Stegostoma tigrinum: one gene and its partner. The protein of the gene in region 1 interacts with the protein of each later gene in a pairwise test. Links are inferred from orthologs where the notes say so. Each region holds a gene or a part of one and is shown in the gene's direction. Other genes may lie near its edges.

Region 1 (7,938 bases):
GCCGTATAGGTCCGCAAGCTTGGCCAGGGGAAACGCTCAAGGAAAAGGAGCGGCATGGCGAAGCTGATGGCTGCGCTGCCGTTACCCCAGTGACCTGGCTTGAGACGGCACCGAGATTCCCGTTAACGCTCGGGCACGCAGAAACGGTCCCGTTCTAACTCGAGCCAACGATATCGGTGACGTCAGCACACAGGATGGGGGGAGAGCGAGCCGGAAACAACCTCCGGAAGTGACGTACTGAGACGACGCCGCCGGACGGAGAACCTCCCGAAGTGACGGGGATGTCGGATCGCACTGTCATGGAGATAGTCTCCATGGTTACCGAGTCAGTTAGTCATGCCTGCAGTCATCAATAACAGCTCTTTGGAGGACGGTATTAACAAATATACATTTTGACGCATTCCTTACTAAGCTTAGAGTTACAGAATTCGCTCATAATATTCTGAAGTAGTTATTATAGGTTTAATCATCATTGCTGGTGGCATCACCCCGGTCTCGTGCCGTCTGCTGCTGAGACCCTTATCCATACTGTTGTCCTCTGTTTTTCAGTATTACAGTTTCTCTTCTCAACTATCCCGTCCTCTTCGAACTTAAACCAATCCAAACTTTCGCTGATTGCTTGCATCATGTTCTGTTTGCCCATCACCTAACATGCTCACCAATCTGGATTCAAACACAGTAGTTGCGGGAAAAGCTCAGCAGGTCTGGCCGCATCCGTGAAGAAGAAGTAGGATTTCGGGTCAGGCGACCCTTCCTCAGAACTGTTGTGGCTTACTGTGATTTTTCTTCACAAATGCTGGCAGACCTGCTTCCGCTTTTCCTGCAACTTCCGTTTTTGTTCCTGATTTACAGCCTCCACATTTCTTTCCGTTTTCACCAATCTAGATTAGCTTGTTTGAATAGTAAATCCGGAAATGGATGAAAAGCTATCTTGCCCAGCCTCAGTTTCATCTAAATCCCATCCCACCTTTAGACTTCCTTTCTACTCAGAAACTCACTTCCCATGTCTATCATTTCCCAATTCCCTGGCTGTTCGATGGCCCAAGATCTCTGTTATCACAATGGCCCAGGCTCAAATTTCTTTCTTGACTGTTGCAACCACTAACTGATGTTTTCATGAAACATTAATCAAATAACTCCCTCCAACCCAGAACATAGGAACTACAATTATAAAAAAAACCCTGTTTAATCAATGAAAGGCCATGTAAGAGCATGGAAAGAAAAGGAAGACTGGAAAGGAAATAGAAGAGAAAGGAGGTGAAGGAATTGATTTACTGAAAAATTAAGCAAGAACAATAGGCAAAAAAAGAATGAGGCAAGCAGAGAGATGGACAAGTGGATTGTTCACAATTGGTACGCTGGTAAAATGGAAGGACACTCTACTTTCACAGATGTTGCTGCCATGCTGCATATTTTCATGGACACTGGCAAAATCTAGATTATTTGGGTTAGTCCTGCATTACAGAATCTCTGTATAAGCAGTGCTGAATGCTTGGAAAAAGGTTCTACAATGTCTCCAATGTTTACTAAACATGGGAGCAGACGTAAACAAGGTTTGATGATCTGAGAAAATATGCCAGGATAAGACTTTACAGTGTTACCTTTGTTAAAGTAGATGAGCAAACTATAATAATGACAAGGTGTTTGATTATGATATGTTATATATTTAATGCTCTCATTAAAAGCACACAGCAAACTCATAGCTCCTCCAAACATACACGGGCAATAACAAAGGACATAACTTCCAGCTGCAACTGACATCATGAAATTGTGTCATAATTACATTTAAAAAGTCCGCATATAATTCTTCCAATAAATCAGGTGAAAAATACCTGTGCACAAGGAAATATGAAATAAACAATCGGGCACTTGAGTATTGCTGTCATTGCTTCTGCCAAATGTCAAAATTGCCTTTTTTTCTAACAGAACATAATCACGGTTGGAAGCATGTCCAAGAAAAGTGAATGTTAAAATGTAAAGTTCTTGGGTGCATTTGAAGAATCAAAATTCAAAATTATTTGTACTATCAGCATCGAGAGAAAGGTGAAATTAGATTAAATCAAGCTCAGGGTTAGGACCGAAATGTTCCTGTAAGCCTCTATCTAATCACTCTTTGGCAGAAAAAACATACCCTCAATATCAACTCATCATTTATTACCACAGATGTACCAGTCATGCAGCTAGCATGATAACTTACATTCTTCTTATGCTTATGTAGCTATTCGATGAGTAAAAAAGAGATCTTGAAGCTAGTGCTGCACACTAGTCTACATTACTCATTCTGATGTTTCAAACACTAACCTGTGAACCCATTACAAAGTGGGGGAACATAATTACTGAGCTTCAGTCCAAAGCACAGTGTGAGTCAATGAGGATGAATGAGCTGGTGCAGCTCATATCTTTCCTTGGTTGGACAAGTAGAAATATGTACTTCAAGGGGTCTATTTATAACAGAAAGATGAAATCTGTGCATGGTCCTATTATGGGGTTATTTGAGATCGTCCAAAAGATCCTGCAAGATCTGCCAAGAATCATGAAGAAATCAACAGATCACAGTTAAGTTGTGCAGAAAGGATACAATCCATCATGCAGTGTGCGGCAACTCCAAAACATGAACTGACCGGTCACAGTAATGGTAATCATCTGTATTACTTGTTCAAATAATCTGCCTTCTTGGAAGTGAAACCTAAATATGAAGAAAAGATAAAGCGCCTTTCACATTCAAAGGACATTCCAGATGCTACAAAAATAACAAATTAATTTCAGAATGTCAGTAGCTCTGATCATGTAGGCAAATACAACGGTGAATATTCTCATTTGCTGAATACTAAATGTTAACTATGATGGGCAAAAAATCTCCAGTTCTTCTTTCGACTGGTTCTGTAGAACATATGATGTCTGTTTAAATAGGCAATGGCCAGGCTTAAGGGATGGAGATTGGGAAAGACAATAAGATATGATAGCTTCAGTCTACCTAAGTTTAACAGGATGCAATTGCAATTCGAAATGCTGACTGTTAGACAAACAACGTGACAGGACTAAGATAGTTGATTGGAAGAACCAGGGAGAGATAGATCAAACATTTCACCGAGCAACCTGAGAAGTACATCCAATGAAAGAAGATGAAAGAGTAATGTGGCCAAGATACATTCATGAGGCAGTCTGGAGCTAATGGATAAGTAATTAAATGTGAATCTTTTGGCAATTGTCTGCTAGGCAACCATGGTTCCATTCAAAATCGTTCCCACTGCAGTGGACAACACAGGAATGGAGGAGTTACATTAGCACTTTAGTACCATTAAGGGACATTATAAGCTTACACATTCAGTGAATGCAATCCACGTAGACAAACAGAATTTTCACACAAGGTACCACAACAGCAAGTAATGAAGACAAATCAGCAGGTTAAAAATTGAAAGAACTGCAGATGCTGTAAATCAAGAACAAAAACAGAAGTTGCTGGAAAAGTTCAGCAGGTCTGGCAGCATTTGTGAAGAAAAATCACAGATAATGTTTCGGGTCCGTTGACCCTTCTGTTGCAGATAGAAACTCTATGTTGAATACCATGTGGATCTGAGTAATGACATGCCTTCAGTCATAATTATCATTATAATGTGTTGACGTTGGTCCTGGGTGCTTGCCTCAGGTCCCTGCAGTTTCACAACTTGTTTGGGTGTCCCAAAGGTTCCCAAGCGGAATATGAGTTGCTGTTCCTGCAACCTTCGGGTGGCATCATTGTGGCACCGCAGTTAGCCCATGATGGAACCCTGCAGCCCAATGATATCAATGTGGACTTCACCAGCTTCAAAATCTCCCCTTTCCCCACCGCATCCCAAAACCAGCCCAGTTCGTCCCCTCCCCCCACTGCACCACACAACCAGTCCAGCTCTTCCCCTCCACCTACTGCATCCCAAAACCAGTCCAACCTGTCTCTGCTTCCCTAACCTGCTCTTCCTCTCACCCATCCCTTCCTCCCACCCCAAGCCGCACCTCCACCTCCTACCTACTAACCTCATCCCACCTCCTTGACCTGTCCGTCTTCCCTGGACTGACCTATCCCCTCCCTACCTCCCCACCTATACTCTCCTCTCCACCTATTTTCTTTTCTCTCCATCTTGGGTCCGCTTCCCCCTCTCTATTTATTCCAGAACCCTCACCCCATCCCCCTCTCTGATGAAGGGTCTAGGCCCGAAATGTCAGCTTTTGTGCTCCTGAGATGCTGCTGGGCCTGCTGTGTTCATCCAGCCTCACATTTTGTTATCTTGGATTCTCCAGCGTCTGCAGTTCCCATTATCACTGTTAGTTTTATAGTTTTGTTTGATTCAGCACAGTTTTTTTAAAAAAAATTCTTGGAACATGTATTATATATGTTCTTTGCGATATAACCATTAAAGTTTTTTTTAAACTTCGCCTGGGGCAGGCTGTGGTTTAATATTTAACCTGCACGATATCACTGCAATAATGCAGCGTCTCTACCAGGAGTGCTTTGATCCTGCGAAAACAGCTTATTCCAGAATAAAGGGTTGCAAGTTTCGTCCGAATGTGCCAAACCCTCACTGAACAAAAGCCTGTATTTCGAATGATAAGCTACGAAAATGAGACCTATCTTACACTGCAACCTCCTCCCCAACTGCTGTGTAAACGCTGTTCCCCACACCACCCCCCACCACTTCAGCTCTGAGGAGGAGTCAGCCAGACTCGAATCATTAGCTTGCTTTATTTCCACGGATGTTGCTTGAGGCCCTGTAATCGCCAGCTTTTTTTTAAATTTTCCTTTCAGCGATTTCCCGGACATGCTTCTGTCAGCACTGACATCTCTGCCACTTACTCAGGAACAGGACAAGCCTTCTGCCCCTCAACACTGCGATACTGCCCCCTACCGAGCGTTGTTTCCCTGACCCGGAAGTGTTCCCTGACCTGGAAACGTGGGTTTCGGGTTAAAGCGCGAAGGCGGCCTTGTTGATCCTTGTGTGTGTGAGAGAGGGAGAACCCGTTCCCGACGCTGCACTGGGTCCCGTACCTTTCATCAGCTTGTTGCTATGTCTGTGGTTCCGCCGAGCCGCTCGCAGGCGGGCTGGCCCCGCGGAGTGTCTCAATATGGGAATAAGTACCTGCAGGCAAAGCCGCTAACCCTGGAGAGGACCATCAACCTGTGAGTATCCAATACACTGGATTCTGTATATACCTCTGTCGAGCTAGTTTCATGTGAACTTGAAAATAGTATATTTAAAGTTTTAAAAAAGTTGCAGATGGAATCCAATTCTTGAATACCGTGTGGATTTGAGTAATGACTTGCCTTCAGAAGTAGTTATCGTTATAGTGTATCAGAGATGGTAGGAACTGCAGGTGCTGGAGAATCTGAGATAACAAGGTGTGGAGCTGGATGAACACAGCAGGTGAAGAAGCATCAGAGGAGCAGGAAGGCTGACGTTTCGGGTCTAGACCCTTCTTTCTGCCTCTCTGATGCTGCTTGGCCTGCTGTGTTCGTCCAGCTCTACACCTTGTTATCTGTATCGTTATAATGTGTTGAGGTTGGTCCTGGATGTTCGCTTCAGGTCCCCGCAGTTTCATTTTTTTTTGGGGTGTTCCAGCGTTCAAGTACAGATTTAATATTAAGATTTTGTTCATTTTAAGTCTGTCTGACATGAACTGGTTTTTGTAGTTGTCTGATCTCGTGAATTACTTGTTGGTATCTAGCCATGTGTCTTCAGCCTAGTAACTTGAGAGCTCATGAATGGAAATAGTTTATTGGACTTACTCCAGTAAATTTAATTGGATATCAATGAAATGAGTGGAAGTTACTTTCACAAAGAGTGTGAAATGGCTGTGTTTCAGAGGATTGTTTCAAATTTATCCATGAACTTTGCAACCAATTTAGAATTCTTGAGTAAAAACAAAAATATGAAAAAACAAATTCAGGTAATACCTCTGGCCTAGAGGCCAATCTACATGTTCCGGTGAAGCTGACTTGTTTGTTATAGTGTAAAGTGGTCAAGTGTATTCTTGATGTAGTCTTGTCAAACAGCTCTAGTGGAATAGATAGGCTTTGTTAATATCAGCTATTTCTGTGGTGTTTTTGGTACTCAGGTTTCCTAGATTATGGCATTAAATTGTCTACAGGGTACCTAAGTTTACTGTAAAACAGTAAATGAGAGAGTATATGCAAATCAAGCCACTGATGCTGAAGACATTAAACTGTTACAATAAACTAAAGTTGGGCATTTGCAGGTTAATCAGCACTATCAATTTGAATTTTCAAGAGTGTAACCTTTCTTCTTCTTGAGATTTAGCCACTGCCTTGAACGTTTGTAAAACCTCTTTCTTCTTGAGACAGTGCTGTTTGCATAGGAGTTCTCAGCTTTGCATGCAGCGGTAGTGAAGAAGCTGTGCAACAGTTCAGGCCTTTTGGCCCATCATGTTGTGCTGACCTATTATCCTACTCTTGAGGTCAGGATGATGTGAGACTTCGCTCGTAGAAGTGATCCTTTGCCCTGGCTCTCCTAAGTGGTAGAAGTGGTTCTGAAGATTTAGTCAAAGGATGCATTGCTACCTTTGCATCTGATGGGTACCAAGTAAGTAATCCGCGCCATCTCAGACGATGGCTATCTGCTTTCATATTGAGGTTTTGTTCATTCCAGGCAAGTGGAACAAGGGGAGGTGATAGTCTAGTGGTACTTTTGCTGGACTGTTAATTCGGAGACCCAGATAACATTCTGGGGATCTGAGTTCAAATCCCACCATAACAGGTGGTGGAATTTGAATTCAATAAAATATCAGGAATTGAGAATCTAGTGATGACCATGAACCTGTTGTCAATTGTTGGAAAAACCCCATCTGATTTACCAATGTCCTTTGGGGCAGTAAACTTCCATCCTGATCTGGCCTGGCCTACATGTGACTCCAAACCCACAGCAATGTAAGATAATGAAATGTGAGGCTGGATGAACACAGCAGGCCCAGCAGCATCTCAGGAGCACAAAAGCTGACGTTTCGGGCCTAGACCCTTCATCAGAGGAAGGGTCCAGGCCCGAAACGTCACCTTTTGTGCTCCTGAGATGCTGCTGGGCCTGCTGTGTTCATCCAGCCTCACATTTCATTATCTTGGATTCTCCAGCATCTGCAGTTCCCATTACCACAGCAATGTAGTTGACTCTGAACTGCCCTCTGGGCAATTAGGGATTGGCAATAAATGCTGCCTAGCTCACGACACCCTCATCTTGTTAATGATTTTTTAAAAAAAATTCCATTACACTCTGACTTACAGATGGTGAACAGACTGTGAGAAACCTTGGACCTGCCCTTACAGCTGCTGTATTTATGTAGCAAGTCTGTTAAGCTTTTGATCAACAGCACACTAACTGGAAGCACTTGGACTACCACTTATTAAATGTCTTGCTGAAATGCTTATTCATTTATGGCTGTTGGAAGTTCATGCCCATGAATGACGTTGCAACCAAACTGCAATTTGTACTTGCCACTAGCTGAATTTCTGTAGGGGTCCTTGATCTCAAGCCATAATCCTTTGAGTGAATAACCTTTTTTTTTGAATGATGACAAAATATTACCTCTTCTTCCTGCCAATATCTAAATGATTGCAGTCTAACTAATCTGTTGATAGTGATGTGATAACGTTTTTCTTCCAGTGACTGTGACTTTGACCTTAGCTGGGGCACTGATGTCAGCCTCTGTTTAAATATATTGCTGTTGTGCATATTGAGGTGCAGAATTTATATTAACTCATGTTGGGTGCTTTTGAAATGTCAGTTTCTACAGCTGGATACTGTACTTTGAGATATGGGAAACTGTAAGAATAGAGGAAGAGGCTTTGTAATATACCATGCATCATATCAGCTGCTATTGTGTTCTCTTTACCTAAGTGTGAAGTTATTGATTTTGTTTGCAATAACAGAAAAGCAACTTAGTATCTAAATGGAGATA
Region 2 (7,667 bases), on another chromosome or scaffold:
GATGACGAAAGAGATAGAGAAGACAATGAAGCAGAGAAAGTGGCCTATGACAGATGTCAAGTTGATAATACAACAAAGAACCAGCGAGTTTTGAGAAGATTTGTAGCTCAGGTTGAGGTTCTGGATATGAGTTTGCTCGCTGAGCTGGAAGGTTAGTTTTCAGACGTTTCGTCACCATTCTTGGTAACATCATCAGTGAGCCTCCGACGAAGCGGTGGTGTTAGGTCCCGCTTTCTATTTATCTGGTTAGGTCTCCTTGGGCTGGTGATGTCATTTCCTGTTCTTTTCCTCAGGGGATGGTAGATGGGCTCCAAATCAATGTGTTTGTTGATGGAATTCCGGTTGGAATGCCATGCTTCTAGGAATTCTCGTGCATGTCTCTGCTTGGCTTGTCCTGGGATGGATGTCTTGTCCCAATCAAAGTGGTGTCCTTCCTCATCTGTATGTGAGGATACGAGTGATAGTGGGTCATGTCGTTTTGTGGCTAGTTGATGTTCATGTATCCTGGTGGCTAGCTTTCTGCCAGTTTGTCCAATGTAGTGTTTGTCACAGTTCTTGCAAGGTATTTTGTAGATGACGTTCGTTTTGTTTGTTGTCTGTATAGGGTCTTTTAAGTTCATTAGCTGCTGTTTTAACACCTATACAGCGTATTCAGAAAGAATGGGTACCCGACGAACACAGTCCACCGATTCCTCAGCAATAAACCCAAACAAACAGACAAAACGGGCTCAGAAACCATTACCACTCTCCCCTACATCAAAGACATTTCTGAAATGGGTCTTGACATACCCATTTACCACCAGGTGATAGAGATCCCCAATGCTCCCTATGTAGGAGTCCTCTCTCTTTTCCCATTGGGGAGCTGGGGTGGAGGGTGACAGTTCCTGAGGGATCTTTTCGCTTTTATTTTATAAGAGCGCGGGTGAGGGAAGAATGTGAATGTACAGTCAACGCAGGAAAGGGACAGCTTGAAAGGCAAAGCTGCTCTGTCCTTGTCCAACATTTCTCGTGCTCAATCCGGAACACTAGCACACATAACAGGAGTCACTTGCTTCCACCAAATCTGAGCATTTCTGAAAGGGGGAGGGGGCGTTCTCGCCAGTATTTCCTCCTTCCCAAAGGAATCGATTTGGAAGTTATCGATCATTATTACACTATCGGACTTGTTGCGAATTGGCCGGCGGACGCTTCGAAACTACTTCAGTGGTTTTAGAACACGCAAAGACACGGCGGGGCGGGGCGGGGGTATAAACTCGCTCCGGAAATTGAAATCTTAATTCCAAAAGGGAAAATAAGTTAACTTTAAACAGTGAACGATTCAAGTACAGATCACCAGAGGGGGACAAGTCCCCATTACCAAGGGCCAGTTGACACATTGACACGGTCTCGAACGAAAGGACTGCCACGACCAATTCGTTTCGGCCCAGAATCCGAGAGTGCCGCAGTCATGGAATCAACAGCCACGCCAAGACATCAGCCCGCGCTTTTTTTTCCGCCGAGTCGCAGCATACACTCACCCGCCATATCAGCCTCTGGGCGCCGCTACTGCTCTCAGGCCCGAGACAGAGAAAGGCCGAGGCCAATCCCGAGCCTATGCTCAACTCGTACTGTCTGGAACCGCGGCACGTGACTGAGGGCAGCGCGCGGGAAAGTCGATCACAGAGCGGTCCACCTGGAGACCCCGCCCACCCGCTGGCCCCGCCCGGGAGGGTCAACTTGAACAACATTCATATCCAAATTCCGGCCTTTAACTTTAAATGATGACCCTTGCTTCTTGTTTCCTCCACAAGAGGAAGCACTCTCACGGTATGCATCTTGTAAAGTTCCTTCAGCATCTTACATGTTTCAATAAGATCACCCCTCATTCTTCTAAACTCCAGTGGACTGGGGCCCAGCCTATTTAACCTTACTTCACACTCTAATGTCTAAAATGAGTCGACTGAACGTCCCTTGAAGTGTTTCTAATGCAGTTATTATCAATTTTTGTATAAGGAGACCACACACAGTACTCCAGGAGTGGTCCTGTACAGCTACCATAAAACGTCCCTTACTCTTGTGTTCAATTATTTTTGAATAAAGACCAAAATTCAGTTAGCCTTCCTTGATGTACCTTCAGGTTATTTTCTCGAGATTGATGTACTATACCAGGGTGTCAGAATTCCTCTGAATTTAGTAATACCTTTGTGCTTTCTTGTAGCATATGAACCTATTGAGCTACCTCAAGCCTGATATCACCACCAAGTCCATCTTTCCCTCTACTGTTAGGTACATAGCTGGAGCAGTGTCATACCATAGCTGGTATGAGGGTGGGGGTGCTCCATTGGTGTATGAGTAGTGAGGGCTAACGTGTTGTTCATAAAATGTTGGAATGAATTATTTAGGAAGTAATAGAACATTTCAAAACTCATAATCTAATTCAGCATAGTCAGTTCGGCTTCGTGAAAGGGAAATCATGCCTGACTAATCCATGAAAATTTTTCGAGGAAGTCTCAACCAGAGTAAATACAGCAGTACCAGCAGATGTGTTGTATTTGGACTCCCAGAAGATGTTCAACAAGGTACCTCAAAAAAGGTTAAGTCATAAGACTCTACCATGTTGGAGGTAGTACATTGGCATGGATATGAGAATTGGCTCACAGGCAGGAAACAGCAAGTGAGGTTTAACGGACTCTTTTTCAGGTTAGTGAACTATGATCAGTGGAGTTCCACAGGGATCTGTGCTGGGATTGCAACTGTTTATGTATTACTGATTTGGAGGAAGGAGGCCAATCTACTGTAGCCAACTTTGAAGACAACACTGAAATAGGTGAAAAGGCAAGTTGTGAAGGGATGCAAACAGTTTGCAGAGTGATATTGATAGGTTAAGTAAGTGGGCAATGGAATATAAGGTGTGAAATGTAAAGTTGGAGGAACACAGCAGGCCAGGCAGCATCAGAGGAGCAGGAAAGTTGATGTTTCTGGTCTTCAGAAAGGCCCTGACCTGAAACATCAACTTTCCTGCTTCTCTGATACTGCCTGGCCTGCTGTGTTCCTCCAGCTCCACAATGTGTTATCTCTGACTCCAGCAAATGCAGTTCTTACTATCTCAAAATGTGAAGCTATTTATTTTGGAATGCAGAACAAAAGAACAGTATTATTTAAATGGGAAAAACTGCAGAAAGGAGCAACGCAAAGGGCCTTGTGGGGTACTTGTGCATAAAGCACAGAAAGCTAGTACACAGGAAGGTGCAATAGGTAATCCGGAAGGAAAATGGAATGTAGTCCCTTATTTCAAGGGGAATATAGGAGTAGAGAACTCTTACTTCAACTGTGCAAAGTGCTGGTGAGACCACATCTGTAAGCAGTTTTGGTCCCCTTTTCAATGAAAGATACCATTCCATTGCAGGCAGTTCAGAGAAGGTTCACTAGGATGATCCCTAATATGGAGGGATTGTCTTATGAACAAAGGTTAAATAAAACTGGCACTCTACTCACTGGAGTTTAGAAGAATGAGAGGTGATCCCATTGAAACATGTAGGGATTTTTAAGGGGACTAGACAGGGCAAAGGTTAAGAGGATGTTTCCCGTTATGAAGAGTCTAGAACAAGAGGATATAGTCTCAGAATAAACAGAGGCTGAGATGAGGAGGAATTTCTTCTCTGAGGCTTGAGAGTCTTTGGAACTCCTTGCCACAGAGAGTTGTGGGGAAACCTGTTGTGTATTGAAGGCTGAAATAGTTAGATTATTGATTGGTTGGGGAATCAAGAATTATGAGGAAAGGCCAGGAAAGTGGACGTTAGAAATGCTGGAACAGCCATGATTCTATTGAATGGAGGAGCAGGCTTGAGAGGCCGAATGGCCTACTTTGGTTCTTATTTCGGATGGGATTCTCTATCTTTAAGGTCTACCTGCCTTTCCTGGTCATTTTCCCAGGCCACAGGAGTGTTCTCTGTTTTGCAGGTTGGCCTTTTGTGAAAACAAAATACTTTGGGTGCTGGAAATCCAAAATTAGCTCAGAAAATTACATTTTCATTTTTATTTTTGTCGTTTGCTATTCTGTTGTGACTTCATGTGGCCAATATACAATTTTTGTTTTACAGCTGTCTTCAATTATGAGCTCCATTTGCTTTGCTTTTAAGTCAAATATGATGGTTGTGGGCGGGTTGGGGGATAGATTGTGGACAGGGAAGTGGGTTTGAGGTTACAATCAGATCATTTATGATCTTTTTGACTGGCAGAACAGGCTCGGGGGGCTGAGTGGTCTACGCTAGCTCGTGATTCTTCGGTTGGTTTCATTTAATCCATTTTATCTCTTGTCCTCTCGCCTTTTGTTCATTCCATTCTTTTCCCTACCTCATGACTTATTTAGAGGCTGTTCATCTCTGATATACTTCCGACGAAAGGCCATCAACCTGAAACCTTTGGCTCCTCTTTTTCTCGTACTGTCTGACTTGCTGAAAATTCCAGGAGATTCATTTTTCCAAAAACGGAATTGGCCATTTTGTGCTTTTGACGGAGAAGGGATAAGAATACCAGTCATTCCAGAAGTACTGCCGGCCCATTGGTCGGTGTAGAAACCGACAAGGGCGGTCCCTGATTGGAGGAGGATCTGTCAATATCCGGTGTGAAGATCACAAAGAGAAACAGAAGGAACAAGCGACGTGGACTTGGAGCAACAGTAGGAGTACAGGATGGTGAGTGAATGAGTAGCTGATGGTGGGATATGGCTCCCACACCCCACAACTAACATTGTTTTTCTTCCTCTTTTTGCAGTGTGATTTCACCGAGGATCAGATCGCCGGTAAGTTTCTGTCTTCAGTTTCTGATTGGCTATGGGAAGGGATTTTAGCCTGAACCTATACCGGCAGTAGTTTGCTAATTCTCCCGCAGTGGAGGAGGAAAAACTCTCAAGAAGTCACTGACGAAGGCCTAGATGCACCTTGATCTCGCCTTGCACGACCCCCCCCCCCCAAAAAAAAAACTGGCCTTGCTTTCCTTACTACGAAAGCCGGAAACCGCGCCTTTTCACTCCTTCCCCCGTCCGCCCTAGACTGACAGTACAAGCTCACTCCAAATAAGGACAAAGATCCCTCTCGCTCAGCGCGGCTGTCGACAGCCTGGTTCCAGCCCTCATTCCTCAAGTGCGTCTACTGGTTTAGCAATCTCCCTGGCTGTAAATTCAGACCACGACGTCTAAGTTTTGATTACCTCGCATTAATTTGCGTTGCTTACTAATCCATTCCTTCGCCGCTTCATAACTGCTTGAGAAAAGCAAAGCTTGAAGTATTTACACAGCATGAAATGCATGAATCATTCGTGCATTGGTTACGGCATAGCTAACTCAGTCCCATTGCTCGGCCCGTACCCCTCGCAGGCCTCCAATTGTTCTTCATTTCTTTTTGAAAGTCTTGATCGCGTTTAATTTCAGCAACCTTACCCCAACCCCCGAGGTACGGACACTACCACCACCGTAATTCACCAGTCCCTTTAGCTTCGAAGGCTCCCCACCGTTCACAATGCGTGCAAGCTTTGTGTTAGCTGGAAAACTTGAAACTGCGCGGTCGGCCTGAAACGTCGACTTTTCTGGCCCTTTGCTGCCTGACCTGCTTCCTCCACTGTATTGACTGTCTCCAGCATCTGTTCTTGCTATTCACAACGTTATTATTTCCATGAGACAGAAAGCTTCCAGTTGAACTGAAAAGTGTCTTGAAACTCTTACTGCAGTTTAATAGGACTTCGTATTTGCCAAGCATTTTATTTCATGTGGGCAACTTACTTTTAAACTGCAGAGAAAAATATTCTAGTTATATTTATCTCATCATGCTCTCCACTGAATTGCAATTCAGTGAACAGTCAACAGTAGCTCCCATCTTGGGGGTTCCTGTATTCTTGTTTGCTATGTAGTGACTGTCTCAAGGTGCCTTGCCTCAGTTTATAGTTTCCCTTGATCAGCAGATAGGTCTGTTCTGACAATTCTTGCTCCTGGCCAAAATAAGGCCAATCTCCTGGACTGGAATCATGTTTCTCCCTCCTGCGTTTTGATTGTGGCAGCTTGCAAAGCTAAGTGACCTGGTCTCTCTGACCACACCTAACTGTCGCCTCTCTTAGATGTGCATTGATTTGTAGGGATGATTGTAACTTGATCTTAAAAAAAACTTGCTTTCATGCGATTTTGTTGCTAATCTTATCCCATGTCTTTCCTCATTAGTTGGCTGGTCAATTTTTAGGTGAATAGCCAGTATTGTGATGGTGTCTCAATTTTTCTTAACACTCTAAACAAATAGATTCTGCCCTTGACTAGTCAGGGACATCCTGTCTCTCCACAGCTAATCATTGTTATGACCACCAATTGTCTGTCTAGAAAAGCTTGTATTCAGGATTGTTTGTGTACTCAACTTCTTCTCTGTCCTAAATCTCTCAAAATTTAATCTTGTGACTGTCTGTCTCCTTTTGATTCTGTTTGCCTGTTTAAAGCTGCATATTCTTTGAGTAACACTTTTTTTTTCTTTTCAGAATTCAAAGAGGCATTTTACCTCTATGACCGCATTGGTGAAGGTAAAATTGGCTACAACCAGTTTGGTGACGTCTTGCGTGCTCTTGGCCAGAATCCATGCAATGCTGAAGTCTTAAAAGTCCTTGGGAACCCAAAGCCTGAAGGTAAGGACCAGAAGGTGCTGTAATCAGGGAAGGGCTAGGAAAGTGGGGATGTTTTAAGCCATGAGAAGATTTTGAGGTGACTTGCACAGGATGAGGGAATTCTGTCATACACAGAAGCTAGTGGTGATTTCCCCCTTGGAGCAGAAGGTTGAAGATAATAGGCTTTCAAAATTGTGTGGAGTTCAGACAATTGATTTTCCCCATCTTCTGTGTCCACTGGTTGGTAATGATATGATGCATTTTTTTTTAGTAAAACGAAGTTGAGTAGAGAAACTTTTTTTTTGGCATAGTGAGTTATGGTGTGGTGTGCTGCATGATAAAGTTCTGGAAGCAATTCCATTACCTTTTCAACAAAGAAATTAGATAAATAATTAAAATAAGTGCTTTATCCATATTGAATAGGTTTGTTAACTTTTTTTAGTTTTTGTTCCAAAGTTTGGTTTTTTCTGTATCTTGCTGATCTAATTGGATAGACATTTTGTGCTCTTTTTTTTTGTCAGGATTCCAGCATGTCTCCTTAATTGATTGCCCAGCAACAACTTGGTAGTTTGCATGTCTGTGACCCAAAGTAATGGGGAACAAAGACAGAAGTAAACTTCTTTTTCCATTTTCAGACATGAATGTGAAAACATTGGACTTTGAGCAGTTCCTTCCCAAGCTTCAGGACATTGCAAGAAACAAGGAACCAGGAACTTTCGAAGACTTTGTTGAGGGTCTGCGTGTCTTTGATAAAGAAGGCAATGGCACAGTCATGGGTGCAGAGCTACGTCATGTGTTGGTCACTCTTGGTAATGTTTCATCTATTGTGGTCACATTTTAGAATATAACCATGCCAAACTCTATAGAATGTTACAAAGCACTTGTGAGCATCTTATTTTGTTAAATGAAGACAGACCCAGGATGGTTTTTGCTTCACTCTTCTGTGACTTTACTGCAGTGTTGAAGGATCAGGCTAATTTCTGGATTTTTAAAAAAAAACTTCTGTTTTTTCATTTCTGAATGTAAATTCTCCCAATTTGAACACTCAGCTA

The links. The genes of interacting proteins can lie anywhere in the genome.
Region 2: the proteins of nudt21 (region 1) and myosin light polypeptide 6-like interact in binary tests that used the Homo sapiens proteins (3 or more experiments, as listed by UniProt). The two-hybrid records come from large-scale screens. The link is inferred for Stegostoma tigrinum from reciprocal best matches to the Homo sapiens genes NUDT21 and MYL6.

What each region holds. Positions count from the first base shown.
Region 1 is NC_081369.1:10,280,766-10,288,703, reverse strand, and holds the start of nudt21 (cleavage and polyadenylation specificity factor subunit 5), read left to right. Parts: upstream 1-4,897; 5' UTR 4,898-5,039; coding exon 5,040-5,152; intron 5,153-7,938. Other genes in the region: amfra (autocrine motility factor receptor a), read right to left, coding at 1-56. UniProt on the Homo sapiens protein: Component of the cleavage factor Im (CFIm) complex that functions as an activator of the pre-mRNA 3'-end cleavage and polyadenylation processing required for the maturation of pre-mRNA into functional mRNAs.
Region 2 is NC_081404.1:1,493,639-1,501,305, reverse strand, and holds the start of myosin light polypeptide 6-like, read left to right. Parts: upstream 1-4,566; 5' UTR 4,567-4,670; coding exon 4,671-4,673; intron 4,674-4,752; coding exon 4,753-4,780; intron 4,781-6,492; coding exon 6,493-6,636; intron 6,637-7,250; coding exon 7,251-7,424; intron 7,425-7,667. Other genes in the region: hat1 (histone acetyltransferase type B catalytic subunit), read right to left, coding at 1,518-1,524. UniProt on the Homo sapiens protein: Regulatory light chain of myosin. Does not bind calcium.